Drosophila melanogaster: one gene and its partners. The protein of the gene in region 3 interacts with the protein of the main gene of each other region in a pairwise test. Each region holds a gene or a part of one and is shown on either strand. Other genes may lie near its edges. The genes, in order: Odj, moi, Su(var)205 and cav.

Region 1 (7,985 bases), on a different chromosome or scaffold from region 3:
ATCCTGAGCCTCAGAATTATCCAAGTCGTGCTTTCATCTACATATCCCGCATCTTATAAGACGGAATTAAAAACGATCTCTAATTCTTTGGCGAATCAATGCTCTTCGGATTCCAGGATGGCGCTGGCTCTTTTCTGGTGAGCAACCGAATCGAAGTGACTCCTTAGCGTTGCCTTTCGGGCAAAGTTGATTTGGCAAATAACGCAGCTGAGAGGGAAATACACGACTTGTATTAAATATGCGCAAATTTCATATCATTTCACTTACTCAAAGGGCTTAAGACCTGAGTGCAGGAACTTGTGCTTATTCAAGCAGGTCTTGGTATTGAATCTCTTGGTGCACTGGTCGCATTGGTACCTCAGATCTCTGATGTGCCGTATTCTGTCATAGTGTTAGGAAATTGTTTATGTCAGCGCTTTTAAAGTTAAATACAATTGCAGTAAGGACTTACCGCTCATGGCTCGACTTAGCTGTACTTGTGAAAAACGTTGCCGAGCAGAAGTTGCACTCAAACGGCTGTTCGCCCATGTGGCGCACTCGTTCGTGTAGACGAGCCAGATACTTGGTGACGAACCGCTTGTCGCAGAACGTGCATGGAAAGTTCTTCTCACCCGTGTGGCGCACCATATGCGTCTTTAGGTTGTATGGAGTCTTAAAGACCCTTCCGCACTTAGGGCACACCAGGGATTGCATTTTCCGAGCTGTCCTTTTTGCAGGGGGTACATTCTCAGCTGCCACATCTTCTGGAGCTAATGCAAGGGGCTTTACTACCTTAATAGAGGGATACGTTGTAAGTAGTCTCAGATCGGTTCCAATTTGTATAAAGTTTCCCTTTTTTGGGCTTTTTGCATCGACTTTGTTAGGCAAGTTTTCATTTGCAAATGAAGGAGTCTCAATTAATGGATTTTTATGCTTAAATATTAAGGGGGTTTCCGAATCATAAGGATTATGTGGTTCGTTTCTCCTATCCTCATGGGCGAGATTTAAATCAATATCGGATTCCTCTGCTTTTTTGTCAAATGGATAGTTTTCTGAATCATATGATTCCTCCGATTCCAAGTCACTGGAATCCCCTTCTGGCTCTATATCGGATACAGTGCTTTCTAGATCCTCATCAAGCCCAGATTCCCGCCTCAGCGTTGCTTCATTGTGAACTCGTTGAATGCGCTTCTTTAACTTAATCGATGTGTTCAAGTCATTTAAACAAGATGGGCAAATATGACGCGGCTGGCGTTCATTCTGTTCTAACTGTAAATGGAGTAAATGGGTTATGCCATTCACGCACACAAGAAACCATCAACATACCCATATTCCAGTGAGATCCTTGATCTTGGCCAGAACTTCCAGGCAAAAAATTATCGTGGGATTCAGGTGACAGAAACACGAGGCGCACAAATGGCATTGCGAAGGCTTTTTCATTTCAAACATATGATCATTTATCCCGCTGAATTCCCAAAACAATCAGCTGTAGTTTAATTGATTTTATGTTGTCAATTATGGAATAAAAACGGTAAAAGAGCGTACGCAATCCGAGAATTTCTGTTTACTCTCTCTAAGCAGCAAAATTTGTATGAATTACCTGTTTCATGGCGTTACCAGATAGGTGTGGAAAAACTAACTGTTCTTATTTCCTAGAAACCAGGGAACATCGAGCTAGTTTTTATAATTTAAAATTTATATATTATAAACGGGAGGTTAAATTTTCCCAAAAAGAGAGGTTCAAGCTAAAACACACGTTCGGCTAATTCCTGACGTTTTTGAAATTGGTTCCATATAATTTTTATTAAAATAAGCGCGCTGTGCAATTAGAATAAAATATATTTTATAACAAATTGTAATCTAAGACCGACGTTGAATTCCTTCCACACTGGTGCTAATCGTACGGCTGGCTGGTGATTCAAAGGATTTCTCTGAACCACCGAAAAAGTCAGATAGTTTGCATCCCTGGCATTGTGGCGTGTGGAGTGTGGAGTGTGTGGCGCCAACAGTCGATTTTTTTTGTGTGCTTAAAGTTAGGTGTACAGCTCCTCTCCATCGGGAATGGCTTCCTCGTACTCGAAGTCCTCAAAATTTGCGTCCTCATCCTGAAGTACCTCGTGGTCCTCATATTGTTCCTCGTCAATGTTATCTAACATTACGTCCAGTTCAGCCTGGTTGTCCTCCATTTCTGCCTGCCCCTCTTCCATATATCCCGGAAACTCCGCCGGATCGACTTCAGACTGGAATTCCTCTTTTGGACCATTAACCAGCAAGTTGACCCGCTTGCGGTGATACTTTGTGGAGTAGTGCCGATGCAAAAACTGCGCCTCCTTGAACTCCTTGTTGCATGTGAGGCAGCTGTGAAAGAATATGAGTTTGTACATCTATGGCTACGTATATTTCAATGATTCTTACATATGGACATCCGGTTGGTCACTCTTGTGCCCCTCCTCGTGCTTCAGCCGTCCCTTCTCGCTGTTGAATCGTTTGCCGCATATTTTGCACGGGTGCACCAGCTCGTTGGCATGCATTTGACTGTCAAGGTTTTTATGGTTTATATAGATAAGGACTTGTGATGATTAGGCCAGCACTCACCGTTCATGACGACAGCGGCTGGGACTATTGGCGAATCCCATACCGCAGAACTTGCAGACGTACGGTTTCTCGCCCTTGTGATGGACTCGAATGTGCAATCGGAGCAGTGGCATGGTGTAGAACTTGCGACCGCACTCGTCGCATGAAAACTTCTCCTCGAAGTGCCGCAGCTTGTGATCCTTCATGTTGCTGTGATCGTTGAACGACCAACCGCACTGGTCGCACACGTATCGCTTTATCGAGCGATCGACCTTGGGTTTTGGTCGCCGCTTTCTGGGCTTTCGGACGTGCTCCCGCGGAGGTGGCGGTGGACTATCTGCCTTCTCGACCACAGGCACACGAAGCCGCTTGACCCTGACTCGTGGGGACTGTCTGTTCGGGAAATTTTGGTCCTCGATCCGGATTTTTTTGGCCGGAGGATATCTTAAAATCGGCTTTTCGTCCTCCAAGAAATCCTTATCATCATCCATTAAATCCTTATCATCGTCCAGTAGCTCCTTATCGTCCTCGGTGTCTACTGTATCATCCAGCACCTCCCGTTTCAGCAGCGGATCACTAAGCACTGGCGAAACCTCCGGGGAGCCTTTTGAGGCGACACCCGCCTTCGAGGAGATCCTCTGGTGGAGATTTGCGTGCGTCTCCAGGCATCGCTGCCTGAAGGCTACGGCTTGGGTCAGGTCCAGGAGACAACAAGCGCATATGTGCTGGGGCAGCATATTCTCTAAAACGATCTGGAAATGCATAGATTATGAATAATTCCGGACAACAAATAAAAGGGACGCCACCTCTAAGCCCGTGATTTGCTCGATGGCCATCCGAATGCGATGATTGCGCTTCTCGAAGATGTTCTTTGGGTGCGGCGTGAAGATGCGCTCGCCGCAGATCCGACACTCGGTGCTCATTCTTTCGAAACTAAATAAAATTGATTAATTTTAATTACAAATTATAGTAATTTTTGCGCAGCCGGTTTGGTTTTGAAGTGTGACCGTTGTCCGCAACTAGAGGTGTCAAACATTGATGTTTTTAAAATTTTCCGATATATCGATGTTTATTTCAGACTATCGATATTGGTGTTCAAATAAAAAAAAATCGGCACTGCATCCCGTGAATTTTCTTTTTTAATTGAAATACATAATACTCCTAAGAAAACACGCTTTACAAGCGAATAAATAGTTGTATATATCTCCTTTTTTTAGCAATTTATTTTTATCTTTAGGCTACGATTATAAAAATAAAATAAGCATCATAAGCAAGTTTGAAGCTCTTTTGTGTACAGAATTTGTAGTAACTAGCCTAGAAAAAGCGATTAGCAATCAAAGGAAGTCTCTCATAACGTGTAATTGTCAAATCTTTGTCAAAATGCTCTATAGAAATGCCTCCAGTACGGGGGCCGCGATCAGGCGCCAACTCTCCCGCCATCGCAGCTCCTGGAACTCCTGGATTTTGCGCTGAAAACCAGCTCTTGTCTCCAGGATGCTGGGATTCTTTGGAAAATTTTCGAACCAAATCCTCAGCTGCTCGGCCAGCTGAACATGGTCGCCAAACACGAAGCCATTCTCGCCGTGCTTCACCAGCTCATCCAGGCTAAAGAGCCATTTGTAGAAGTTAGTAAGTAATAATAGTAAATGGCAGGATTAGTTACCACTTGAAATCGTAGGCGCAGACAGGCAGCCCGCTGCCGAACATGTCGACCACCTTCATGGGCAGGTCGAGCCCACTGGTGCTCCAGTGCAGACACACGCCCAGGTCGGCGCTGGCCAGAACAGTGGGGTAGTCCTCGATCTCTAGCCAGGGCGTGATCACCGACACCTTCTGCCATTGCAGCTTCTCGATCTCCGCCACATAGTGCTCCTTTTGTGGCCCCTTTCCGGTGATGATACACAGCAGGGAAGGATAAACCAACGGCTCTGCTTGCGCAGTCTCCTCGTAAGCTTGCAAAGCCTTAAGCAGTATACCGAAGTCCTCGTCCGGCGTCCAACTGGTGCTGGAAACCAGCACGGCTTGTCGCTGTGGTCTGTACTGCACAACACCGCTGGCCAGCTTTTGGGTAAGAGCGGTGGCCTCCAGAACATCGGATTGTTCGGCGTCCTTGGCCTGGAACTGTGGGTAGTCTTTGGCCAGCTTCAGGTACAGCTCGTGCTTGTGAGTCAAGTCGATGGGATGGAATTGCGCGGGCGCACGATCATACAGAACTTTGACAGGCCTGAAAGATGAGTCGCGGCTGAGTTATTTACTTCGTTTAGATGGATGTGATGAGGACTTACCCAATGCCCCAGTTTTGCTGCAGATCCTCTTGCATGGCCCGCGTCACACAGAAGTGTGTGTGTGCCTTGGAGCCGAAGTATCGCTCCAGTCGCCTAACCAATCGTATTAGAGGACTCTGCTCTCCCTTCGACATTCCCAATGCCAGCACTGTGTACGTGTAGTTGTGCCAATCGATGGCCAGCTTGGTTCGTGTGACCGCACAGTACAGATAGCACACAATCAGCGTGGGAATGCCGGGCGGATTCTGGACGAGTAGGAAGCTGGGACGGCCAATGGAGATGAGAGCCATCAGCAGACTGAGCGTCTGCCAAAAGGCCTTGAAGAGCAGGCGCAGTTTGGGTGTTAGGTTCGTCACTGGGACGGCAGTTAGCTCGTGGATTCGGCAACGTGGATGTTGAGTCAGTTCCTCCAGCGGCCTCGTCTCCAGATACCCAATCATGTCCACGTGGTAGTTCTCCTCGAGAAGACTCTGGGCATGGTACTGCATGCGCGGACTGCGTCCAATGTCGCCCAGCACGATGACGCAGGCGTTGCGCTTCTTGGGCAGCACTTCCGCCATCGCTGGGCAAGAAAAATAAGCGCTTTATCTGCGATCAAAGGGAATTGCGCGTTTTGTTTGTGATTCGGTTGAATCCTGTGGAATAGTGGGACCGTACTCAGCCGCTGCAAAATGCCTCGGAACTCTGCTATTATGGCGCTATGTTAGGGTGGTTCATTTCAACATTTATTTACTACCTGTTTTAAAAATTTGGGTATTTTATCATTTTATCCATCTATTCTATTTCATTTAATTTTTTAAGATGAGTAATCAGAATTCTTAGATTTATATGAGCGAATATATATACTGTTTAGATTTCAAAGTATGAAGTGATAAAATAGCATAATTTTAAGCTACATTTTTTCTCTAACATTGCATTTACATTTCTTAACAGTACTGTAAAATAAAATGAGTGCGGTTAACAGGGAAATAACTTAACAGTTGCCGAGTGACCGTACCTGCTTTGCGTATGTATGATCTTAATTGCAGTAAACGTGACTGGTCACACCACACCGCTCAAACTGAATTCTCCATTCAAATTCGGATTCGTATGGACGTAACGTCGCGGCTCGTGAGTGCGGCACTTTTCTAGCGGGACTTCAAGCTCAGTGTGTGTGTGTGCGCGACAGTGCGTCGGTGTGTGTGAGTGTTTACCCACAAAGCTGTGCTACAATTTTCGCAGCAACTAATGCTCAGGTAGAGGAAATATTATTAAATATACTAGTTGGTGATGAAAAACAAATAATTGAAACAAAGTTTATGACTGCTTAAACGGGAGAATTGCCGGTGAGTAAAATCAGGAAAAGCACTCCAACTGCCGTTATTTTACGCATTTTCGCCGGCACAACAAGCCGGCTTTCCACCCTCCAGTTGGCGCCTGTCTGGATGTCAATGTGTGGGTGGCTCTATCGTTGTCCGCGTGTGTGTGTATCTGTGTCTGTGTGTGGGGGTATTTCGAGCCATCGAATTTCGATGAAGTGGAAATGCAAATTTCGTACACCACATACTACAATTTCCCGAGCTCCTGCTGGCTTTGTTCTCCATTTATGCATTTTTATGCGCGTAGTATTTTTCCTCTCTAGTGCCATCGTCAAATTTGTCACCCGGCTGTCTGAGATTATAACTAGGTGTACAGATGCGGTAGAAATATTAATATCGTTTACAGATTTTTATACGCGTATGAATAAGCAATAAAGAGGATACTATAACCTTTAAGGCCATCAAATATCCTTAAAGATATTATTTGCAAATGTCAAAGGAATGTCAAAGATACTATTATTGTATGTAATTGCTCTTAAAGATCACAAAGACTGAAGTATGATAATCTTAACAGCTACTTTTAATATTAAGAATTTCCCATTAAGGAAGTAAACAATTATAGAAATTTACTTATTTGACTTATAGCTATCAAACAAATATGCCGATCCAGATTTATTGCTTTTGAATATGATTTTCCGCATGATATAGATATTGTATTATTCTGAACCCAGCTGTGAGTGTGCTCCACGTAGTTTATCCCATTATGCTCGTCTGCAATTTCTGATCCAGACGCGATACGCTCCGCGCATCGTCCTTCTGCTCCTGCGTCCTACGTCCTTCGCAGAAGGCAGATAGCCAAGCCAGCGGGCCACCCCCAAACGGTGGGCGGTGAACGCGGGGTGGTGGTTGCACTGCTGCTCGGATGGTTGGGTGGTTTTTGGTGGGTGGCTGTATTTTCCTGGGGTTGGCCCGCAAGTTTCCACTCTTGATTTTTGATTTCAGTCCGACTTTTTATGGCGCTGCAGAAGTTTTCGCTCTGCCGTTGCCCTTTTGCGCTCTTTTTCATTCTCTTTCCGTATGGCAGCATTTGGCATAGAAAACTTATCCTCGGTCTAGACACGGAATGAAAAGGACATTTTTCTTAACCAGGTTTATGCGGTGGCAATATTGCAAAAATCATATCTCAGGATAATTCATATATTTGCCCTAAAGCTATTATTTGTAACGATAAATGGACTGATTGTACTCAATAATCTGTTTGGTCTTATGAGAAAATTTAACAATAATACTTTTATTGTTTATTATCAATAATATCAATATAATATTATATTATAATCAATAATATCTATATCAATAATATATGTTATACATATACATCTTTTAACATCGATAAGCGCACTTTTTGCATAATACTACTAATTCACCTTTACCTTTATGGTAAGTTTATTACCAGCTAGAATAATTGTTGGAATGACTGAAATCAAGGAATGTTGGTAATTCTAAGAAACAATCCATTTTTGCTCACATTTCACAACATATCTATTTCCATGTACCATGCCAAATCTAATCGTATAAACCTGCTTTCATTTTAGTTGCATTTGTCTTTATTTCTGTGCGTGTTTGCTGTCTGCGACATTTTCTGCTTTTGCTTCAGCAGGATTAGCATTAATTTCATGTTGAATTTATGTCACTGAAAATTTATTTCGCCAAAAAAAAAAAACTAAAATCTATCCGGAAAATTGCTCTCTTGCAGCTGCACCGGCAAAACATATCAAAGAAGGGATTATTTTGGACTGAAAAATTCACTTTAAAGGCGCTCAAGAGCAAAAACCCGTGACAGGTAAGCTTT
Region 2 (8,289 bases), on a different chromosome or scaffold from region 3:
TAAGGTCCGGTAGGAGTTCGCTCTCATCTAAGAGAATCCGAGCTGCAGCATTCCGGCGGCTTATGCTGACAGTAGCGGCTCCACCTCGCGGCCGATCTGCGTCCGGGCAGGATTGCAGTTCGATGTTCGTACGGATGGTTCCTTCTGTCGGACGGCAGCGATCCACGCAAGACTCCGTCACGCTGCCGGTGAGTTCCTTCCACTGGACCACGTAACGATAGTCGTACGGCGCCAGCACGCGCTCCAGTTGGGCTAGGTTTTTGCGTATTCGGTCTCGCTCCACTTCCGGTTCGGCAATCCTCCGCGGGCGCAATTCCTCCAGTTCGTGGTCCCACTCTCGTACGACAATCTCATTCGGATGGAAGAAGTGCACGAATCCAACACGAGGGGCTGCATCGCCGTAGGGACCACGGGAGGAGCACCATACGTAGTGGACTCCGGGTGGAATCATCTTGACGCCTCGGAAATCCGGACCAATGGTGTAGGCACAAAGATCAATGCCGAATTCCGTGCCCTCGGGTACACCGGCGATGACCAGCACTCCGCCATCAGCCAGGAGGCGTAGGGCTAGCTGCGGATCCATTTTCATGCTGGAGTTGTCCTTGTTCATTGTGAAATATTGTTCGCTTGCAATTATTAGGAAAAAGAAAACAATTGCAAGTGCGGGCCTTTCAGCAAGTTGCCAGATGTGACGGCTATTTCGATAAGTTCTTTCATGTGAGCAGTCTGGCAACACTAGACAAACAATTCTTTCAAGCGGCAAATTCAATTTATATATACTTTTTTTTAAGTAAATCTTTTGTTTGATATAATTACATTGTATTTAGACTTTGTTGATTTTTGTTACAGTGTATATTCTGCATTTACTTAAAATTCTTGCTGTTCTTCACTTTATTGTGTAAGTGGACCATGACTTTATATCTAAACTATATTTATACGTAGTAGTAATTAGTATTGTAAGCTGCGTTTAGTGCCGATATCGTCGAGTATTTGGCGCAGCTCCTCATCCTCGAAGCGACCCTCTAGTGAAGGAATCAGCGCCTTGGCCTCCTCGGGCGCCTCCGGACACAAATTACCCAGTGCCGCCAGTTCGAATTTGTGCAGCTTTTTCTGCATCAGCAAGCTGAATTTGAAATAATTGAATATTACTACTCGTACGTGCTTTGTTCGGTTTTGCTACATTACCTTCGCGCAGACATTATGGTCTCCTTGTTTTTGAACTTTCGAAAACTATCCGTGTAGGCGTACGTCTTCATGAAGACCTCGGAGAACTCTTGCTCCTCGTCGGCGGATTCGTTTTGTCGCTTTCGGTGATCGAGAAGCATGTGCACCTCCGATATCAGCAGCGTCTCGGCATTTTCGAACTCTGAAACAAAGAGAAACGAAAGGGTTTTTTTTTCTTGAATTAGTTACTTGACGACATTCAGGAAATTTACAAGTGAAACATTGGAGAAAAAATTAGCCCTAGCCATAGGACGGTGGTCTGCTGATATGGCCATGTTCCAGCAGAAAATCGTAGATCTGACGCGTTTTGTTCACGTCAATTTTGATGAGACGTCGCGCATCGGCCAGTCGTAGATATCCGAGCTTTGCTTGCTCCGTAACGAGTTGATTCTTGTAGTCCAAATACGACTGCGGAACCAGACGAGCCACACTGCACAACTTTCGCTCGCCATCATCCAGTTTGGAGTAACCAGGCAGATCTGGGATCAAAGAAAAATTATATTCAGTTGGTGTCAGGCAATGAGTAAAGTGTTTCCCACCTCCAATCTCAATGGGACTGGCCTTTCGACGCGTGTTCATCACATATAACTTTGAGTTAATGGCCAGGGGACCAGGATCACCGCTCCTGTTGCTCTCGTAATGCTGCACCAATTGCTGCCAGTCGAAAGCATCTGTTTGCTTCAGCCTGCTGTAATCTCGCTGAGCCTGCTGACGTTCTTTGCTCAAGCGGGCATATAATTTGGCTCCGGAAAGAGTTCGAACGCCGTGCTCCCGCAGATCGTATAGCTTGTGCAGCTGGCTATGCAGCTCCCGATAATAACGCAGAGACTCCAACAGCATATCGAACTTAATGGGGTCAGGACAGATCTGCATGAAGCCCAAGAAACGCATGCAACTCGCATCGCTGCCAAAGGCGTGCACGTACTTGGAAATCCAGCTGACGGTGCGATTGGGCATTATGAGACCGTGTTGCCTCATTATCTTGTAACGACGCTGGCGCTCTCTGTGAGTAAATATGCATATTAGATTTTTTTTAGTAGCTTTCTGTTATAAGATCATACCTGAGGCGATTGTTGTATGCCCGAACTAGTCCGAGTTGCAATTCCTCTGTCACTTCGCGCTCAAACTCACTCTCAGACGCCTCGTTGTCGTCATCCCTGCCCCTATGATCCACCATAATAGATAGCAGACTCTCTGCTGAGGTGTCGTACGGAGTATCGAAGTCTCCTCTTGCACAGCGGTAACCTGCGCTTAGTCTGAACTGCATGGAGGCGATGTCGTCATGACGTGGTGGATCCAAGCTGCGCATTTTGAAGACATACGGCATTCGCTCGGGCACATAGCTGTCCCTCGCATGCTTCAGATTAAGGAGCCGCTCGAATATCCCGCCAAAGTAGCAATCGTGGTAGTGACGACGCACTTCTGCGGGTTCGTGGCGCTGGTCCAGAGCCTGGGAGACCGCCTCCCAGTTGCCATAGCCGTGGGTGCGAAGTGTTTTCAGCAGTATGCGCTCGTCCCGTGCCGTCCAGTGTGGCTCATCGGCGAAAACCTGTATGTTGTCGCGGACTATGATGTAAGCGTGGTTATTGCGGTGAGAAAAGGCCTCCTTTCCACGTGAGAAACATTGCAGGCAGAGCAGGGTGTCGAGGCACTCGGAGCACTTAATGTACGGCTCTGTGAGACTGCAGCGACATGTGGCACACCGATTGGCATCCTTTGTAGCCGATGGAACACTGCTATTCTGGTCCCGCGTCTTTTCCTCCATCTCCTCCAAGTACCTGTGCAACGTGTGCGGATTATACAAAACCATGGAGTTCCTGGTGTGTTCATTCTGATGTGCATGGATGAACCGCTTAACCTGTGGCCCCAGTGGCTCAACTGCAAAGAGGCAATTCAGTGTGGTAAAAATGTGGAGGAGTGCCACTTTTGGGGCACTCGAAGCCAAAGGTTTCAGCCAGTTTCACTTGTAAGTTGCATTTCGGTTGGTGTAGGGCGTTGGTTACCTTTGGGAAACTGCAGGTCGGCGGCGTCCTCATCCACCATATCCACGGGGTTCATAAAAGACATAGTGAGCTAAGAACTGCTCAGTTTGTTAAAGTTTATATTAAGAAATTCTAATTTGCACAATAAAATGTCGCTGTTTTTAGTGATGAGAAAGGCAGGGCTATAACTGGCGAAGAAGCTATCGATAGGTGGGTCGCATCGTGCGTAGATACGTTGGTCACACTAGCAAGCATGTTGAGTTTATCATTCCGGGTGTTTTGATTTTGTTCGGAATTCTTGGTTTTTTTCCAAGAGAGTTATGTCCCTGGTGCCAGAAGCCTCTACCTCGAGAGCGCCCAAGTACTGCTACTTCTTCAAGACCCTGCTGGTGGAGGAACTGGAGCTGGAAACTTCCTACCACAACCTGCACTACGGTCAGTGCGCATTAATTGGACGTCTGGCGTTCAAGGCGAATCAGTACCGCCTAGAAAACGTGCGCGTTAAGTGTTTGCCAAAGTAAGTTTTTCTATATTACCTATCCATCCGGTCCTTACCAATGATGCTGCATCTTTCAGGAAGTACTCCTTGGGCGAGGGCACCGTATCCTTGCTTATTCTTGGCCTTACCCATGACAAAGTCGTCGAAAATCGCGTGAGTACCGGCCGCTACTGCATTGTGCGTGGTGAAGTGGTGCTACATAATGTGCAGCATCCCAAAGGTGCCAAACTGACCGCCGGCGGTGTCTACGACAAGATCAATAGTCTGTCCAACGATCCGTTGGCCCAAAAACAGTATCTCAGCGCGCTACTTGCCACCTACAGACCGGCCATCGACTTATGGTACATCCAGGTCATCGACAGAGCCGAGGACTTGCTGACTCGCAGGCTGGAGATGAGAAGTCTGATCGAGAAATGAACACACACCACCTGACCACCTCGCGAACCAATCCGCAGTTCTATATATTCAGTCAGCTCTTTGGTAACGATTTCGACTGGAATAATTGCAATTGGGGGGGCATTCAAAACGTTACCTGGAAAGAATTCTGGCAGCGTGAGGGGCATGAGCTGCTCGAGCAAAAGTGGCACAAGCGGTTTCCCGAATACAAAGATCTTATCGAGGTGGTTTCGTCGGAGGAGCAAGGCCTTTGGCAGGAACTGTGGGAGAAGCACGCCAGCGATTACAGTGAAAAGTTCTGGTATATATTTAGCTGTGCCTTTGAGAACTACCAACACGATTTGGCCAAATCATTTGGCCTTGACGTCGCTGAAAACTCAGAAGATGTTGAGGAGGACTTGCAGAACCTAAGCCTTACAAATAAGCCAATAAAATCGAAACAGCAAAGGGTCACAGAGAAAGAGGAGGACGAATCATACTTGACTGCCAACGACGATCCCGAGGATTGTGACGAGGAACAACAGCTGCGCCTTCTCGGATTGCCAACATCATTTGCGTCGAAGGCAGATATAATTAATTATAGAAAGGAAAGAAAGACACAGTACGAACTATCTAGCAGCGATAGCGAGGACGATCATGATCTGTTGACCATGGAGAACAACGAAAACGAGGCTCTGCACGGCGTTCAGAGCGGTTCTGTTAAAAAGAAAAAACGACGGCAAAGGCAAATAAAAAAACTCAAGGCCAGGATGCCAGAGTGCATGCAAGAGGATAACAACAAAATGGTCAAGTACTGGGTCAAGCGATTCTCGCTGTTCTCCCGCTTCGATCAGGGCATTCGGCTGGACCGCGAGAGCTGGTTCTCGGTGACACCCGAGAAGATTGCCAAACAAACGGCCCGACGACTGGCCTGCGACGTGATCGTAGATGCTTTCTGTGGATGCGGCGGCAATGCCATTCAGTTTGCAAACACCTGTGGACGCGTAATTGCTGTGGACATCGATGCCGAGAAGTTGGCCATGGCCAAGCATAATGCCGGCATTTATGGTGTGGCCCATAAGATCGAGTTTATCCACGCCGATTTTCTGCAGTTTGCGGCCAGCACAAAGCTGCGCCCAAATGTGGTTTTCCTGAGCCCTCCGTGGGGTGGTCCTGACTACCAAAAGCAGGCCACCTTTGATATCGAAACAGGTCTCCTGCCCGTGGGTGCTAGCCAACTGATGCAGCTGTCCCGTAGCCTGGCATCTGACGTAGCTTTCTTTCTGCCACGCAACGCCAATATGAAGCAGGTGGTCGCTCTAAGTGGAGTTGGGCAGCAGTGCGAGGTGGAGCACAACTATCTGGACACCCGAATGGTTGCGCTCACTGCTTATTATGGTAAAGGAATCATAAAGGGTTCAGTGGGAGAAGATGAGTAGGATTCGATTGAGAGTAATTTTAATAACATCATTGTTTTTATATAAATAAATATATTTAATTTCATACATATGTATAGTTGAATGGATTTAAAAAAAAAAACGGGCTCATAATTTCATGGCATTTTTTGCTTATTATTAGATATAAATCATATTCAAAACGAGCCAATAACATAATATGAAAATAAATCTATGAAAGGCATTTTAACTAATATGTAATACAAATGATTTGGTAAGTATCTTTAATTAAACTCGAAGCATATAAGCACACAGAGTTCACAAATTCCTGTAATTATGGATCAAAGGAAAATGTTGGCTATGGTCAACAACTTTTTTGTTCATTGTTTATCGCCTTAAGTTTTTCCCTCTTTTTGCCACATAGAAAGATAGGAGAAAAGTTGACTAATGAATAAAGCCGCCTCACATGTAACGCAAGAGTAAAATCTTTTCACCCATCCCTTCAGTGCAGTGATTGTTGCCAAGTGACCGGCGATGCCAAAGAGTCCAAGCTCTTTAGCCAATTTAGATGGCTTAACAAAGCTCAACTGGCCAATGGTCAATGGTCATAACCATAACGTTCCGCAATCCCTTCTTGCAACTGGCATTGGACTTTTAATTAAAACGCAAAAGGAAACAAAGCGTGCGTCAATTTTTAAGAACTTTGTGCCACAAGTTGTGACTTGGCCCAAAAGCCATGGAACACAGGCAGCCAGCCGCATCCTGCTGAACCTGGCAACGTCGGTTCGGGGGCAATTAACATGCTCGTCTCGCGGCGCAGGCAGCAGTTCCTTCGGCATTCCACAGCAGACGGCAGACGATGAGCCGGAACCAGAAGCAACAACCCTTTTCATGGCTTACAGCTTACTTAGCTCTTTCGGATGGGGTGCGTTCGCTTGAAGGGGCTTGTGGTGTGGCCAGTGGGCGGTGGGCGGGGCATGTGCGGAATTTATAGCTGCCAACTGGCAACAGAGATATTTACCCCTTCCTCCATTATCCCCCAACCCCGCGCCCCAACCAGTTGCGGCAAGTGGCTGCTCCTTTCCACTGCAATTAGTTTGATTAACTTATTAGTGTGCGTCGGAGCAGCTCGAGCGAAATTTGGAGCATTCTTTCCGGCGCTGATTTGTGGGCTGCCTTGCGAACGACGGATTTTAGTGGGAAGTTGGTTGGAAAATGGCAATATTTTGACAAGAGTAAGGCGAATATTCTGAATATTATAGTTTTTAATTGTATACAAAGTTAAATTTAAGTTAAATGTAAAGTTTAATGTTGTGGGCTTTAATAGATTTACATATGATACGTAAAATTTGGCGTATGAGTTCAGGCCAGAACTTATAGTTGATATCAGTGATATAGTTGTACATAGTATATAGTATATAGTTGTAGTATAAATATATAGAGTTGATATAGTTAATGATATCAGAAATGATGTTAAAAAAGTTTTTGTTTAGATACGTTAAAAAATAAATATAAACCAATTTGCTCTATAAGACATTTTACTAAAAGTAATGAGCATCCTTTTATGCCTTTCCTAATACATATATATTTCAGAAAGAATTATGCAACTATTTGTTACCTTTTTATACCCGTTACACGTAGAGTAAAATGGTATACTATATTCGTTGAAAACTATGTAACAGGCAGAAGGAAGCGTTTCCGACTCCGTAAAGTTGATATATTCTAGATCAGGATCATTAGCCCAGTGGATATGGCCAAATCCGTATGTCTTTCCGGCTGTCCATATGAACGCCGAGCTCTTGGAATCTATAAAAGCAAGAAAATTAAGATTGAGTAGGAGAAGATGGCCACGCCCATTAAACCACGCTAGATGCGGGGCTTCGAAAAGAGTTTCGTCTTTTTGGTCGATCTCCCTCAAACTGCCACTTGCTGAGTTTATGGTATAATAATATAATAATGACATAATGACAAAAAAAAGGAATAATAAAAAAGGAATACGTTGCCATAAGTACTATAATACACCATTTCTAATGCAAATTGCAAAGTAAGCTCGTTGCCGGTGATTAAAACTGACTTTTATTGTTCGGATTGTTATTAAAATACCGTGCAATTGGCCGTCACGCGTCAACTTTGTCATTATCAGCTACTTAAATCTAAGCCCCCTTCCGGATCCGGTTTATCCACTTTGGTTTTTAAGTCAGTAGCGCTGTTATCCTTTATTAGATACATGTAATTGCCGCTTTAATGCGGGGTTGACAATGCCAACAATTTCAATAACCTGACTGGGCGGCCTATAAAACGACTGGCATCTCGCTGAAAATATATAGAAATATATTTTATTGGAAAGCAAGCACGTGTTCACAGCTCATCTCGTCGAGCGACAAGTGGCTGCGTCCTTCGTTTGGGCAAAAAACAAATTAAGTCACCCTTTTAATACGCTATTTAATTTCCAGCGTAATGTTGTCATCCTTCTTGACAAATGGTCACCCAAAACAACGAGGTCCTTCCACCCCCCGACCGGCTGGCTGGCTAACTGGCTGTTTGATCTGTAATTTGCGCCACTTGATGATGGCCTTAGCCGGGGAATCCCGGCTCCGACTCCCATCCGCCATCCATCCGAGAGTTACTAAGCGGCGGGGTGGTTTATTTGTGCCGCAAGTTGCGACAATGCCGCAATGCGATTACAGCGTGCAGTCCCTGGGAACTGTGCAAAATGCGATTGTTCTTCTCCGGCTGCAGGTGCAGCTGCTTCATGGGCGCATCTAATTAAGCGGGTTGGGGGTTGTAAACACTCAGTAATTGCCAACTGATTTAT
Region 3 (7,717 bases):
CACGAAAGGCAAAGGAGCACCGCTAGCCATCGAATGAGAAGCATCCTGGAACTTAGACGCGCCAGGAAGCAAAAGCAACAGCAGATGGGATTGGGAGATAGTAGCAAACTAGTGCTACGATGCGGAATCCATACCAACTTTGAGCTGAAGGCATTTTGCACCAACTGCCGTCAACTGGCATGCACCGACTGTTTGGTGATCCTTCATAAAGGCCATCGACATGAGACCATATCCCGGGCAATTGGACATCAGGGTAAACTACTCAAAGAAGCTACGGATCAAACTCGTCCCCTCTGTCAATATGCGGAGCACTCCATTGAGAGGTTGAATGCCATAGCACGTGGAATCAACGACCGGTGTGACGACATCCAGACTCAAGTGGAGCGGTACATGCAGCAGTACATGGATGCCCTGACAGTCCATCGCAAGACTCTGCTCCAGCAAATCAGCAGAGCTAGGGAGTCCAAAGTGGAGGTAGTGCTCAAGCAGCAACTTGATTTGGGTAAGACATATTTCATTTGGTTAAAGCTCTAGTTATCTGACGTAGTCCTGTAGAGAAACGCACTCAGCAGGCCATGGATGCGGTTAGATTTAGCCAAGAGCTGTGCGAGATTGGTGCTGATGTAGAGATTCTGAGTTATGTGACTATACTTCTAAGGCGTTTGGAGTACTGTCAGCAATTTAAGCCGCCTGTGGATCCCAAGGTAGGTTACCAAATTGCTTGTTTTATTGTTTTATAAAGTAAACCATTTTACCCAGATATCCGACTCGCTTCACTTCCTACCAAAAATCCGTGCTCCGTCGACAAAGGACCAGCGCGATATCCCTCTATATGGCATCATCACCATGCAGGTAGTGGAGCCTAGTCTATGCACCCTTGAGTGGGAGGGATTTTCACAGCTGCGCCTCCACAAAAAAGCGGATCTTCTGCTTCACTCTAGAGATGCCGACGGGGTTTCCCTCTGCCACGGTGGCCTGGAGATCAACTGCATGCTGAAGTACAAGGACTCCAGTTCCAAGTTTCTACCCGTTGAGGTGTCGGACAATCGTGATGGCACCTACAACATATCCTTCACCCCGGATGCCCAGGGCACGTTGATTCTCACGATCACCATTAACGACCGGCCCATCAAGGGAGGTCCTTTCACTTTTCAAGCGCGACAGGTTCGTCCGCATACGGGCATCTACCACTGCTGCTCCTTCTGTTCCGGAAAGGGCAACCGGAACGTGATGTGCTCGTGTGAGGGTCATATGCCTGGATATAGTGGCTGCGGTCATGGACATGCTGGACATCCAGGGAGACGTCATTGGTCCTGCTGTGGAAATGTCCTTGAGAACTCGGAATGCAATGTGGCCAACAAACTGCTTAATTCTTAAGTAATTGATTAGGATGCAGGGCTATAAAACGAATAAATTAACATATAGCCAGGTTTCGCCATTTTGTTTGTTCATCTTGTGAAATTTCAAAGATCTTGTAGTTTATACGCACGCGCAGATAGACAACAAGGATACTTCAAAATAAACGTTTTTCTACCTGCAAAATACATGCATTCCAACAGACCCGACAGTCCATTTACAATGTGCACACAATAATCTCAGATTGCTAAGGCTACAAAATCCCTTTCGACCTCTGGAATTACCAATTGAATTCTCCTTATTACCATATGGTCAGCATATGCGCGTCATATCCTGACCGTTGAGCAACAAGTCGCAAATAAAAGTTACTTATATAGGCTCCAGCAGAATAAAGGTTTTTTTTATTTATTGAAAATGGTTATCATAAATACAGACACTGACTCTGGACATTTATGGAAAAAAGTCCGATGCCTTAAGAGTTGGTTGGGTGGTTTTGAAAGCGCCTGCAAGGAGCTATAATTCTAAGTGGGTAATTTTTCGTTAAATGTATAATCGTTCTTTTTCGCTTTCGATGATCCAACTGTTTAATCTTCATTATCAGAGTACCAGGATAGGCGCTCTTCGTAGAAGTGGATTACCATTCGTGGGATTTTTTCATTGGCCACTGAGGAGGGCACCATTTCTGCTTGGTCCACGCCTTTGAACTGAATGAGGAATGTCAGGCGGCCATTATTGTCGGAGGCACCCAAGATCTTTTCGGCCTCCAGGCCGCGATCGAATCCGGTAGATCCTGAAACGGGAATGGTGTCCTGCTCCGCATCTGTGGTACGTTTTGATTTATTGCCAGAGGGCGCTAAATAAATAAAATAAAAACAAGTAATTAATACAGTGCAATTTTTTAATAGATGCATTTTTTTATTGCAAAGACCATCTTTTTCTTGCGCATGCCATTCTTGCGAAGGACAAAATTTGAGATACATATGTGAATACAGTTTTGACGAAAAGGGCAAATAAATGCCAGTGGATATTGTAGGTGATGACTATTGTTATACCAATTTGTGTACAGAAAATATTTGTAGGTACACTCAATTCCATAGCTTACCTGTTGGTTCTTCGGACTTTCGCTTGCTTGCTGTGGACGTCGAACTGCTGGCGCGTCCTTGAGTTTCCTTGGCCTTGGCGCTGCTGCTGGGTCGATCCTTCTTGGAGGCGGCTGACTTCTCCTACGGACCGAAACGAGATGTAAAGGAAATCCTAGCAAGCACAACTGTACTTGGCATCGCATTGTACTTCACTTACCTCATCCTTGCGGCTCGCCTCGTACTGCTGGATAAGATCCTGGCAGTCGAGATTGTTCTCCGGCTCCCACGTGTTCTCAGTTTCGGGATAGCCCTTCCATTTCAGATAGTACTCCACCTGCAGGTGGAAAATGGCGTTTTAGGACCAAATATAATGGGACGTCTGGTTCGGAAAACTCACCTTTCCCTTGCGCACCCGCCTGTCGATGATCTTTTCCACGGCGTACTCCTCCTCCTCCTCTTCGGCATCGGAAACCTTTGCCGAGCTCTCAGGGTTGTCGATTTTCTTGCCCATTTTGTTTTTATTAAAATACTTCACACGACAAAAAATAAGGAAAGAATTAGCACAACCGCACACAACCGCACACACACGCAAAGTACGAAAGGAAAGTACGATTTTTAGTCGACTCTCTTTGCTTTCATGGCTCACCTAGATTAAATAAGATCTACACTTTATGCACGCAGCTAAATTGGTTTTTATAAGCCTGTGTGTTGGCGCTAGAAGACTTTCCACAAAATGAAAAATCTGCAAAAAAATGCGCGTTCTAAAATGACGCCGGCCGAACAGTGTGCGAAAGTACGCGTGGACTGCTAAGACTACGCTTATCTATTTTCCGATAGATTTGCACATCGTATTAATTTCATTTTAAGTCTAGAAAAATGTTAACACTAAGAACTATCTAAATTTTACAACATAACTATAATAATAACGTAACTAACTGATCGCCAATATCTGTTTTTAAAAATTTTGTAATAAATCGATGAATCGATTAAGGAATCCGTTGTACCACAACTATTATCGACGCGTTTCACAGCACTGAATAAGTTGCGCGAATATTCACGAATTTTTTGACAATTTGCGTTTTGTTTCTTCTGTTTTACGGAAATTCTATAAAAATGCCCAAAACAAAGAAGAAGGATTCGTCCTCAGATAGCGATAGCGGTCCAGATGATGTAAGTTAACTAGAAATACACCAAAACTAGGTATAACAAGTTAAAACCTCTTTCAGCGTATCAAGCCGGCAAGCAAGAAGGCGAAGGAATCTGATGCTCCAAATTCAGATCCAAAAGATTCGGGCGAAAATGGTGCTACATCTTGGACCCTGGAAGGACTTCGCCAGGTGCGAATCAACGAGTTCCGCGGTCGCAAATCGGTGGACATTCGAGAGTTCTACGATAAGGGCGGCCAAATTCTTCCCGGCAAGAAGGGCATCTCCCTATCTTTAATTCAATGGAAGAAACTCCTTGAAGTGGCCGAAGAAGTCACCCGCGCGATCGAGAATTAATTGAAGTTCATCCACATGCCAAACTAAGTCGTAGCCATATGTACTAACTATAGACATATCCACTGAATAAACGTTATCTTAAACACTAGTAATTGAAAATCTGTATTTTCACAGTTGCTGAAGCATTAATGAATGACCAACTTAATTGCCTGATAGGTATTTTCCTTATCTGCTTTGTGGTGGGACTACAAAAAGCACACATATACATAAATGAATGAATCCTTTATTGGACGTCATATGTACATAGATTTGTACATTGATAGCATTTGATATAGATATGAATATTAAAAATAGATGCCCAGAATGGTGAAGATGGACAGGAGAATGGCAAACGGCAGCCAGGTCTTAATAAAACCCCCTATTCCGACGTAGCGGCCGCAGACAAAGAGCCACATGCTGAGGATAATCATGTTCCATGCGGTGCTGTCGTAGTAGCGCATGTAGATGAGTGCCGTTGCCACATGCGAGTGGCAGTTGTCACAGAAGATATTGTGGATGCGGGTGCCGTAGAGCACAGATGCTTTGGAGACCGCCTCGTCCCAGGCGTAACTGCCGCCCACCATGTGCTTGGGGTGCAACCTTATGTACCGGGTGGGTCTTCCAAAGGCCATGTTGTCCTCTGATACGAAGTAGGGGCCGGCGAAGTCACGAATCACACCGGACGAAGTGCAAATGCCCATATGTCCGATCATGGGCATCAGCCAGGTGAGAACCGGAATGGGAGTCCAAACGATGCAGTAGGGGAAGCGTTGGTCCTTTACGTTGATCGGAGGCAGTCTATCCGGAACGCCATTGCCGGCTCCTCCTCCGGAACTGGCCATCGAGATCTGAACGTCCTCGGACTGTTGCCGCTGCGGACTTGGGTTTGTCGACATTATTACACTGTATTAGGTTGATATTTGTGCGGGGAAGCCACAAGAACAGTCACTCACGGTCTTCCCGGCCGTAATGCCCATGAAACGAGTCGCTAACAATTCCAATTGGGCTTTAATTGTACGATAAGGAGAAAATAAAGCAGTCGCAGTTCACTCACATCTACCTCAGTATTTATTGACATGGAGATTGACAGTGTTGGAAAGCATTGCTGTATGGCAGAGGCGTCTGAAAGGGGGATCCAGAGACCACGTACAAACGTAGTCACACGAAATTTTCAACTCCGCAAAGTTGACAAATTCTTTTTTTTATTTAGGTATGTATTTGGAAATATGTTTCTACATTTGTGGAACAGCAATGTTAGAGCCCCATAAACTTTACTTCTGTGTACGCCCCTGCAGCGAACAGCTGTTGCAGCAGTTGCCATTGCGTTGGAAGTGAGAACTGGTGCTGTGTTTATTGGCTGAGCTGCTACTTCTATTGTGAAATATTCATTAACAATCGCTTGGCCATGACACAGGTGTTTATCAATGGTGCCAGAGACGATCTCAATGTACGGGAATTCCAGAGCCTGGGTACGAAGTCGTGAAACATTGCCATGTCACTATAATTTGTGGTCCTTTCTGCAGATCCTTCGATTCAAGAGATCATCCTGGCAGCCACGGAAGCCAGAAAACAGGCTTATTGTCCGTACAGTAACTTTGCCGTAGGAGCCGCCCTGAGGACCAGCGATGGCACCATATACTCCGGTTGCAACATCGAAAACGGGGCGTATGCCACCTGCATTTGTGCAGAGCGCACTGCAGCCGTCAAGGCCATCAGGTCAGTGGGTCAATATTCTCTGGGTCACATACGCATCGCTTGAGATCTATCCACAGGAAATACTGAAAGTAAAGCGTTAGTCACAGTAAAGCTTATCTTGGATTAAAAACTTAGATTTCAATATATTGAGATAACCCTTGACAGCAATGAGGAATGTTAATCTGTAATGACAACACTATTACTTAAATTCTTACATACTTAATTATCCTCTCCAAGTCCTTTCGAATAACTAAAATAACACATTTTTACAGTGAAGGCAAACGCGACTTTGTGGCTTGTGCAGTGGTGGCCCAGCAGGATAATGGCTTCACCACGCCTTGTGGCGTCTGCCGGCAGTTCCTCTCGGAGTTCGTCAACGGCAAGGACATCCCCCTGTACGCCGCCAAGCCGACCAATCTTCCATTGAGGGTGCTCTGCACCAGCGTTCTCCAACTGCTGCCCAACGGCTTTAGCTTCGCCAACGGAAAATAGAAAAGAATATCCCAGCCCAGCCCAGCCGGACAGGGTGCAATCCATGTGCAATAGTTTATGTGACATCCCATTTATAATGTTCTGTAAACCCACCCCTCGTTATTTGTTGATTGAATAGCTTATACGAGATACGGCATCTGTTTGTGTTTTTCACTGCTCTCCGCGATCGCGATCGTTGCTTATCAGCCTGATACCTGGTTCTCTCTCGCGCTCCGAATTGGCCAAATGTTTATTTCTGTCACCACTACACGGCGGAGAGTGCTATCAGCATAGCCAACTTCGGGCGCCGCCGTCACCACAAACCGTCCATTTGCCATCGGACGTTCAAAGGAGAAACACACGCACTCAACTTGCTAAAAATAATTCAAAATTTAAGAAAATAGGCGTGCCTCTATTGACCAAAAGAATTGAACTATAATGACACATCTGACAAAAAATTTCGCACGTCCAGAAAAGAATGAGGAGGTTGTGACCTTCGGCAGTCTGGGTAAGATTCCTTCTCGAGATTGAGAACAATCTGAGAACAATCCTTAAATATCTACGACTGTCAATTATTCAAAGTGGTTCTTATGATATTAAAAATAATAATGTTATAAATTAATACTCCTTACACTCATTGACAAGATCTAAGTTTAATTCTTGAGCGTGGCGTGCATTGTTTCGACTTCCAGATCCGTCGGTTCAAGAACTTCTGACAGCTGCTTTTCAAGTGCGCCAGCGGGCATACGTTCCATATAGTGGCTTCAAAGTTGGGGCTGCTTTTCGGGCCAAGGTCGATGGAAAGATCTTCACTGGCTGCAATGTGGAAAACGCCGCCTTTACGCCGGGCTCTTGTGCCGAGAGAACGGCCATTGCTAAGGCCGTAAGCGAAGGAGCCACCGAATTTTTGGCAGGTGCTGTTTTGGCCTACGAACCTAATGTATTCACCACTCCTTGCGGCGTTTGTCGTCAGTTTATACGCGAGTTTGCCAACGCGGATATACCCATATATGTGGCCCAGGCGATCGATGCGAGGATTGCTGAAAAGCAGGAACTTTTGCAGAGTGACGATCCCGTCATGTGCACCTCAATCTTTAATCTGTTGCCGAGCAGTTTTCACACCTATCGAAAGTAACGACCACTGCAGGCAAGAACCGAAAATAGGCAGAAGGTAGCTAGGTAAAGGTTGTTTCTCAACCCCTTGCTGCCTCTAATCAATATAATTTTGATCTAATCACTTGCAATAAAGAAAATTACACTACTTAGCAGTGTTTAATGTTTTTTTTTCGATCAATGAATAGGAAATGGGGATATAAATGCTGGAAAGATTGACACAGTGAAAGATTCTAGGAAAAGGTGTTTAATCGCTTTTGATTATATATCAAAATTAAGGTTATAAATTAAAGATATCGAATTTGGATTGACAACTGCTGACGTTAAGCGCAATGCAGGGAATGCCCCGATTTGTGATGACGTGATAAATGCACTCAACTTCTGATTCATAAACACCAAATTATTGTGAGATTAAATTTCGCCATTTGTATAGTAGCGAAAATAAGAAAGATCATTGTGGTAGTGGCAATCTTTTAAATCAAATTTATAAGGTTTGTTTCCAATTCCTTTGGATTCTAG
Region 4 (7,884 bases), on a different chromosome or scaffold from region 3:
CAGGTGCAACTGGCAATGCCGTATCCTCAGCTGCCTCCGAATGCCAACATTATACATATCCAGAATCCCCACCAGCAGCAGCAACAACAAGTACAACAACAACAACAGCAGCAGCAGGCGCAACAGCAGCAGCAAGCGCAACAGCAACAGGCACAGCAGCAGCAACAACAACAGGTCCAGGCGCAGCACCAGCAGCTCCTTCAGGCGATCAGCGATGCCTCGGCGGGGGGACAACTGCCGCCCAATCAGCCCATCACCATTACCAATGCCCAGGGCCAACAGCTGACCGTGATTCCCGCCCAACTACGCCCAAATGCGCCTACCGCACCCACTCCTGCTCCAGCTGGTGTGCCCACACCAATGCAGATGCCCAATCTTCAGGCTTTACCCATCCAGAACATCCCAGGCCTGGGTCAAGTGCAAATCATTCACGCCAATCAGCTGCCTCCTAATCTGCCAGCCAACTTCCAGCAAGTACTAACCCAACTACCCATGTCGCATCCTCAAGTGCAAACTCAGGGCCAAGTTCAGGTGATGCCCAAGCAGGAGCCGCAGAGTCCAACGCAAATGATCACCAGCATCAAGCAAGAGCCGCCGGATACCTTTGGACCCATTTCCGCAACTGGTAATCCTCCGGCACCTGCCTCTACTCCAAACACAGCCTCACCGCAACAGCAGCAGATCAAGTTCCTGCATACGGAAAGCAATTCCCTGTCCAGCCTGAGCATACCAGCCTCCATTCAGATCACAGCCCTGCCACAGCAAGCGACGAATACACCGAATACCCCAGCCACAACCCAACCAATTCCCGTATCGTTACCTGCAAGAAGTAAGGTCAACGCTGTGACCACGTCAAGCACCCAGATTACAATTGCGCCGACTGGTGGCCAAGTGGTGTCCGTCACGACGCAGGCTAGGGGAGCAACTGCCAGCATAAGGAGCACGAACACCAGCACGACGACTATAACAACGCCGTCACAAAGCCATCTCAATATGAACATAAGTGTGGCCAGCGTCGGAGGTGCTGCAACTGGCGGCGGCGGTGGAACAGCGACTGGAGAGCCCAAACCACGCTTAAAGCGAGTAGCCTGCACCTGTCCCAATTGTACAGATGGCGAAAAACACTCGGACAAGAAGCGCCAGCATATATGCCATATAACCGGCTGCCATAAGGTATACGGGAAAACTTCCCATCTAAGGGCTCACCTGCGTTGGCATACTGGCGAGCGACCATTTGTCTGCTCCTGGGCGTTTTGCGGCAAGCGCTTCACCCGCTCCGATGAACTGCAGCGCCACCGACGAACGCACACGGGAGAGAAGCGTTTCCAGTGCCAGGAGTGCAACAAAAAGTTCATGCGCAGCGATCACCTGTCGAAGCACATCAAGACGCACTTTAAGAGCCGCTCTGGCGTGGAGCTAATTGAGCTGAGCATCAAGCAGGAGACCAAGGGTGGCAATGCACCGAAAAGCATTAGCACGGTGAACGGCATTGTGACGATTGAGATTCCGGGCGGCGGTTCAGCGGCGGCGGGCAGTGGAGCCTCCAGTGTGGCGGCCACGGTTGCAGGCTCAACTGTGACGCCGGGCGGGGCCACGATCGTTCAGCTGCCGACTGTGGAGGCCAGCGGCGGGGGTGATAGTTTCGGCGATGATGAGGACGACGAGGAGGATGATGAATTGACCGAAGAGGACGACGAAGACGAGGAGCTCGACGAGGACGATATGGATGATTGCGAGGATGAGGAGGATGACGAGGATCCAGAACTAGACAGTGGCGATGAAGTGAAGATGACAATTGCGGTCAGTGAGCCTGGCGACAATTCGTCCAACTAGCATTCGGAGTCGCTGTTCATGGAACAGTTCTTGTTTGACCACTTCCCGTAGCACCCACCGCCCCCTGCCGCGCCCCATGGGACCATGGTTTAGCAATATATAAATTGTACATAGCGTAATTATGTAAAAGCGAGCATTTTAAATGTTTACCCTTCTTGTACAGCTCCGGTTGCGGATCATCCTAGATTAGTGTACATAGCTTAATCGACCATCGTATTTTAATTAAGATTTTTATTATACATTTTATAACATTTTTAGGGATTACATGTTTTTAATTAATTAACACCAATAAATGAAGAACTTTATATAGTTTAATATATGGACATCAGGCTATTGAGGTGACGTCGATCGGCTCAGATTCTGTATTTTGAAAAGTGATAGTTCCTTCCGAATCAATTGACGGTCCAATCGACAAGCTTTCCGAATTAATTTGATCACACCTTACCCAGCTCTCATTCATCTCTGTCTCTGGACAGTTTACCTGATCGTCAGGCTCTTGAGTCGACGTGGGTCGTACTAATGTGCTCAATTGGGTGCCAAACATATAGTAGTCCGGATCAGACTCCGTATTCCGGAAACTGTTATTTGCTTGCGAATTTATACATCCAGTCCGCATCCTTCCTAAATTAATTGGATCACATCTCACCGAATTCTCATTAATCTCTGTCTCTGGACGGTTGATGTTCTCATCCTGAAATCCTGACTGCTGCTGTTCGTCCTCATCGTCTCCGATGCCGCTAAGATCAGATGACGACACGCCTGGCGGAGCCATCGCTTCCACTTGAAAGTTCATTTGAGACAGTGAACTAAGATTTGTGTTTGCTTGGTCCTCGTGGCTCTGCACCGCGTCATTAGAAGATGCATGAGCGTCTGGAGAGGATTCTGGTGCTGATAGGTTTTGACTCTTTTTCTTTTGCCATCTATCCAATCGGCTGATGTTCTGCTTCTTAGTCTCGGCTGCAACTATTTCTCTTCGCTGGGCCACAAACTCCTCCGGATACGGTTGGACCATCTTTCTGCGCACCGCTTTCATATACATTCGGTTGATGAATCTCTCAGACTTGTTCACAAAACGTCCTTTTGCTTCAAACCTCTTTTTGGCTTCCCACAGACAATTCCAAGCGGTCATATCAACCTTCACTTTGGTGCGTAGACAAAGCTCCTTTACCTCGTCCTCGGTGTATGGGCGTGCCAAGTCCTCCTCGGTTATTCTCTTCAAATACAGGATACTATACAATATACAATTTCAATTTACAAAATGAAATGCGTCTTACCGTTTTTTCGTGCATCCATAGAATCAATTTGTTGTTAGGATCGCTTTCTTTGAATTGCGCACGAATTTTTTTGTCCTCGTCGGCTAGATACTTTCTCAGGAAGGCAGACATTTGCGTCCCCGACATATTAACCTTTTTTTAAAAACACGCAACATTAAATTAAATAAATTACAACTTTTTAAGGGCATTCGCGGCTAATGGATCTATCGAAACTCTGTAAGGTTATCGATTAGTCAGTATTTACAGATTTTAATGGTTTAGCTCGATTCTAGCTAAGTATTTTCGTTTGCTGTCAAAATAAACTCATTTTATTTTACAAATTAATAATTCAAAGCTCCTGATTTCAATCCTATAAAAAATATCAATTCAAAAAACAGGGGTCTTAACTGTCATACAAAATATAGCTACTTTCTCAATACGCTAGTTGGAGCCCCTGCTTGCAAATTCTTTCCGATAGCCGATTAACAGCAAGTGGGCATTTCCGCGTACGCCAAACCAGCGCACAAAAGAGAAATGGAAAACGAAGGAAAGCGAAGAACGAAAGTTTACACATAGTAGCAGCAGCATAAATTCACAAATAAATCGTCCATCCAGAGATCTAAACTACATAAAATATATCGCGTCGAAAGCCGAGTCCTCAGCAAAAAGCATTGACCGAAAAAAGTGGCTAGTAAAGCAAACAGTACGAAATATCTACGTGTTTTTATTTTCAGCCCTGCACCTCTTTGACCATCTGTGTGCGTGTGCGTCTTGTGTGTATGTGTGCGTCTTGTGTGTGATGTGCTCTTGTTTTGTTTTGACTGAAATCCCATTTGAGTAGTTCTTTTTACAAACAAACGTTGTCTCACACTTTATCAGAACACTAGGCCGGACTTCAGTTGGACGAATAAGCACGCATTTTGGACAAATCTTGCCGTGATACCGTCCGCTGATAAAACCGAGTGGCAACTCCGACTGCTCACCATGTATACAAAAACAAGAACCGACGATGAAAGCGAGTCGCGTGATAAATAAATGAAAAGCAGAGGCCCAGCAGAAGAAAGAGCGATCCAAAACGAATAGGTTGATTAGCAGAATCGTCGCTTCTGTTCCGACAAACACGAACGAAAAGCAGCAAAATAATAAAATAACAAATATAGGACCCAAATAAAGGCACCAAAAACGGTAGAAGTCGGTTAAATTTCACAGTGAATATCGAATATTGCTGAATCCCCAGCTGCGGCTTCCTTTTTCTTTCAAAATCCTCGAGTAAGTGCAGGCGGAGAGCGAAAAGAGCGCGCGAAACGAGGAGAGACGGCGAGTAAATTTGAGCCAGAATTTCCGATTGAGGTGACTTCCTAGGAATAGTGAACTGAGCCAGGTAATCCTACACAGGTTCCTGATACCCACGATTTTCAATATGCGACATACGGCTTTCCTTCTTCTTCTTGTTTTGCCCGCCCACGCCATTCTTCTTTCTAACTGTATAGTGTTTCTGTGTGTGCTACGCGTCCGTGTGTGTGCGTGTGTGTTGGTGCTTGCACTTTGCGCGCGCTTACCAAAATCATTTTCGTTTGCATTTATTTATGATTTACAATTTACCATCCGCAGCTGTGCGAAAGCCAATAGCAGTTCTTTAAAGCCTAATATGTGTATCTTTAAAAAAAGGTGCATAGACAACGTTCCAAAATACATATCCAATGCTATTTATTAATAAAATATAAAGATTTTTCCTAAAATCCTCCAACTATTGAGTTTGGCGGTATTTTCCATATCGACCTTTTACCTTGTACTTAAATTTTAATTAATAATGTTTAAGAACTGCTATTAGTTTTACCTTAGCTGTATATGTAAACCAAACCCGGACCTCAGACCCACCTTTGTTTACTAATACAAAATAATAATGGAAACCACTTTATTAATATTTTGCAGAGACGCTTATCATCAGGCGGTTATTATGAAAGGTTATGATTTGATTCCAATACTCCTAGATACATTTAAGCTAAAACTCAAAGCATTCATTTTTGTTGCTAAGCGAGGTTTTGTCTCCTAACATGAGCCCTAACTTCCTTGAAACAATTCCAGATTTTAACTTGTTATCTCTTACCTTATACATATATTAATATAACTCTCTTCTATATATACCGAACAGGCAATCATTATAAAATGTCTCGTAACAAAGACAAATACGACAGCGCCAATCGGCGGCAGCAGATCTTTCTGTCGCAGGAGGACATAGCTGCGGGCAAGAAGACGAACTGGAGTGGCCTAGAGATTACTGGTGGGTATCACACACTTAATCCCGAAAAATATCATATTAATTCTACCATACATCTGTTTACAGGCTGCGTCCGCAATATCAGCCCGTCGCTGTGGGAATTTGAGCATCTAACCGCCCTCTACCTGAACGACAACCAGCTGCTGCGATTGCCCGCAGACGTTGGCATGCTGACCAGCCTCCGAACTTTGGACCTGTCCAGCAATAAGCTAAGAAGTCTTCCCGCAGAGCTCGGCGAGCTCATCCAGTTGCGGTGAGTTTGTGGGTTGGCATAGGACATGATTTACGTTGTTAAATCGTATTTTAGTCCTATTATTATGTCTCATACTCTATTGCACCCTTAGCAGTTGATCTATTGTGAAATCGCTGTCTGGGCGCAGACCCTATTGATCACTGATCCATGCTTTTCACTAAGCCACTCCATTGTCTTGCCTCCTTTTAGGGAGCTGTTGCTGAACAACAACTTTCTGCGCGTACTGCCTTACGAGATCGGCAAGCTGTTCCACCTCGTCATACTCGGCCTCATGGGCAATCCGCTGCAAAAGGAGTTCATGAACATCTACAACGAACCGAACGGCACGCAGAAACTGCTCACCTACATGCTGGACAACTTGTCATGTGAGTCCCCCCCATGTCTATCTAAATCCCTGAGTATGTGTGTGCGCGCGCCCGGTGCGTGAGCAGCTCCTGACCAGGTGTGTGTCTGGCTGCGTGTGTGCATGTTTGGGGTAAAAAGGAAAGCACGCGAAAAAAGGCTTCCGAAAAGAGAAAGTTTTCGAAGAAACTACGGACTCAAGGGTATTTTAACTATCTTACTGGGCTTGATGGGATTTTATTGATAAAAAAAAGGAAGCTTAAAGTAGGAGATAATCTTTCCATGTGTTATCAGCAAAAATTCTTTATGTAACTGCTCAAAATATATATTTATTAGGAAGTTTAGGGCATGTTGGAAAATTTTGTTTTTGGGGATCAAAAACGATTTCGATGTATTTATATATAGTAGGGTTGTAACAGCAGAAATATATATTTATTCGTCCATTTTCAAACGCAGTTTGTTAGCTAATGTTTTTCCGCACCAGGATAGGTCATAAAACCTGTTGCCAAAGCCATAATTAAAGTTCAAACTCACGGCTGCCCATTAATGCCAAAAAACATAATGCCCGCGCATCAATTAAAAATGTCTAATTGAATGCAACAATTACAACAATTGGCGGACTTGGCCAAAAGAACTGCACGACCTCGACATGCAAAAGCCAAGAGATGCTGCTCTCCGATGCAAGTTGGCCCAAAAAAGAGAGCCGGTGGCTGAGCGTCAGAGTGTTCGTGTGGACCCAATGTGGAACGTAAGAGACAGAGAGAGAAAGAGAAAGAGAGAGAGAGAGACTTGTCTTAACGGCTTTTACTGTTAGCCGGGCTTCGCTGTCGATCGCGTTAGCAGCTGACTTCAGTCTGCCGCTCGCTTGGCTACGAGGCGGACGCACTAGCTCCACTCTGCTCCTCAGTCTCTCTTCAGCTGGAAACCCGTTCGCGAGCGTCGCGCATGCGCCGTGTGTTTCGTAATTGCGATCGCGTTGTGTCCCAGTTTCTTGGCGTTCGCTTTTCATTTCGTTGCGGTGGAATCGCTCGACTGTTGGCCAACCGAAATGCCTCTCTGAAAGGTGGCTCGCTCAAGTCGAATAATCTAACCAAGCGGCCAAGTGATGTGCAATCGACTCGATCCGCCGACAGGATTCAGTTTGGGACTAAGACAAAAACAGTATGAGATCGCATGTGGCCGTTTACAGGGCGCCAGAATCAGCAGCACCACCACCACCGCCGCCCAACTACGCGTCCTTGCGATACCACCAGCATCCGTTGAGCCATTGGCCGGGTAGCCAGCATCCAGCTCCTGTGTACAGGTTGCATCATGGTCCGCCGTCTGCACCACCGCCCAATTGGGCAGCTCAGTCGGCTGGCCAACCACCTCAACCAGTTGGCTATGGAGTGGTTAATCAGCAGCGGATCAATGAGTGCGCCGGCATACCGCTCATCTCGAATGCCTCCAGTCACTTGTCGCCAGCCCAGCGACAGAGATTGCTGAGGAAATCCGCCCTTAAAACATGTCCAACTTGGCCACCTGGAGGGGCCACTATGTCCCAGCTGGCTGTGCATGCCCAGGGCATGCCGCTGCTCCAGCAGAATGGCAAGCACCATCTCCAGCAACAGCAGATGCAGCACCACCAGCCACTACATCACCATCATCCTGTGACCAACAACTGGAGTGGCTACCAGCCGATGAGCAGTCAGCCTGCTTTCAAGTTGGCTGACAAATCTCGAGCCCTTCGCTATCAGAATTCGGCACCACCGGTGCTCAGTAGCCAAGAGAAGACGCCTAACAATGCTGCTGGCCAGGATCAGGCCACCTCGCCAGCGGAGACCTGTCTGCCGAGGATCATTAAACCCAGGAAGCGACGAAAGAAGGATCGAAAACCGGGCAATGGGGTTTTGCTCAAAATTGAGGCGGATATGCAACCGAAGATG

What was found.
Region 1: the proteins of Su(var)205 (region 3) and Odj interact in a two-hybrid assay, tested with the Drosophila melanogaster proteins (3 studies listed by BioGRID).
Region 2: the proteins of Su(var)205 (region 3) and moi interact in binary tests that used the Drosophila melanogaster proteins (3 or more experiments, as listed by UniProt).
Region 4: the proteins of Su(var)205 (region 3) and cav interact in binary tests that used the Drosophila melanogaster proteins (3 or more experiments, as listed by UniProt).

Annotation. Positions count from the first base shown.
Region 1 is NT_033777.3:17,805,642-17,813,626, forward strand, and holds Odj (oddjob), read right to left. Parts: upstream 3,582-7,985; 5' UTR 3,477-3,581; coding exon 3,360-3,476; intron 3,306-3,359; coding exon 2,575-3,305; intron 2,515-2,574; coding exon 2,395-2,514; intron 2,338-2,394; coding exon 2,013-2,337; 3' UTR 1,766-2,012; downstream 1-1,765. Other genes in the region: CG17801 (uncharacterized protein), read right to left, coding at 96-207, 268-381, 452-1,248, 1,306-1,428; Alg1 (ALG1, chitobiosyldiphosphodolichol beta-mannosyltransferase), read right to left, coding at 3,939-4,158, 4,217-4,777, 4,839-5,398.
Region 2 is NT_033777.3:18,252,090-18,260,378, forward strand, and holds moi (modigliani), read left to right. Parts: upstream 1-3,440; 5' UTR 3,441-3,526; coding exon 3,527-3,723; intron 3,724-3,782; coding exon 3,783-4,122; coding exon of another isoform or gene 4,123-5,519; 3' UTR 5,520-5,588; downstream 5,589-8,289. Other genes in the region: CG12320 (uncharacterized protein), read right to left, coding at 1-610; Polr2D (RNA polymerase II subunit D), read right to left, coding at 949-1,123, 1,186-1,366, 3,228-3,291; Ada2a (transcriptional adaptor 2a), read right to left, coding at 1,465-2,227, 2,286-3,147, 3,228-3,291; Tgs1 (trimethylguanosine synthase 1), read left to right, coding at 4,119-5,519. UniProt on the Drosophila melanogaster protein: Part of the MTV complex that associates with the HipHop-HOAP complex to form the terminin telomere-capping complex involved in telomere maintenance and prevention of telomere fusion. Potentially functions downstream of mei-41/ATR.
Region 3 is NT_033779.5:8,207,895-8,215,611, forward strand, and holds Su(var)205 (suppressor of variegation 205), read right to left. Parts: upstream 3,229-7,717; 5' UTR 2,950-3,228; coding exon 2,836-2,949; intron 2,773-2,835; coding exon 2,656-2,772; intron 2,580-2,655; coding exon 2,459-2,579; intron 2,210-2,458; coding exon 1,941-2,209; 3' UTR 1,732-1,940; downstream 1-1,731. Other genes in the region: CG8419 (uncharacterized protein), read left to right, coding at 1-502, 556-704, 760-1,377; Ssb-c31a (single stranded-binding protein c31A), read left to right, coding at 3,552-3,608, 3,665-3,940; CG8372 (uncharacterized protein), read right to left, coding at 4,225-4,815; CG8360 (uncharacterized protein), read left to right, coding at 5,325-5,388, 5,443-5,635, 5,887-6,106; CG8353 (uncharacterized protein), read left to right, coding at 6,524-6,593, 6,778-7,220. UniProt on the Drosophila melanogaster protein: Structural component of heterochromatin, involved in gene repression and the modification of position-effect-variegation. Recognizes and binds histone H3 tails methylated at 'Lys-9', leading to epigenetic repression.
Region 4 is NT_033777.3:24,217,698-24,225,581, reverse strand, and holds cav (caravaggio), read right to left. Parts: upstream 4,052-7,884; 5' UTR 3,841-4,051; coding exon of another isoform or gene 3,829-3,840; 5' UTR 3,675-3,828; coding exon 3,657-3,674; exon of another isoform or gene 3,617-3,656; intron 3,341-3,616; exon of another isoform or gene 3,240-3,340; coding exon 3,108-3,239; intron 3,047-3,107; coding exon 2,159-3,046; 3' UTR 2,054-2,158; downstream 1-2,053. Other genes in the region: Spps (Sp1-like factor for pairing sensitive-silencing), read left to right, coding at 1-1,833; CG17786 (uncharacterized protein), read left to right, coding at 7,123-7,884; twin, read left to right, coding at 4,735-4,754, 5,019-5,050, 5,239-5,367, 5,431-5,617, 5,807-5,982. UniProt on the Drosophila melanogaster protein: Part of the HipHop-HOAP complex that recruits the MTV complex to form the terminin telomere-capping complex, which binds to chromosome ends in a sequence-independent manner and prevents telomere fusion.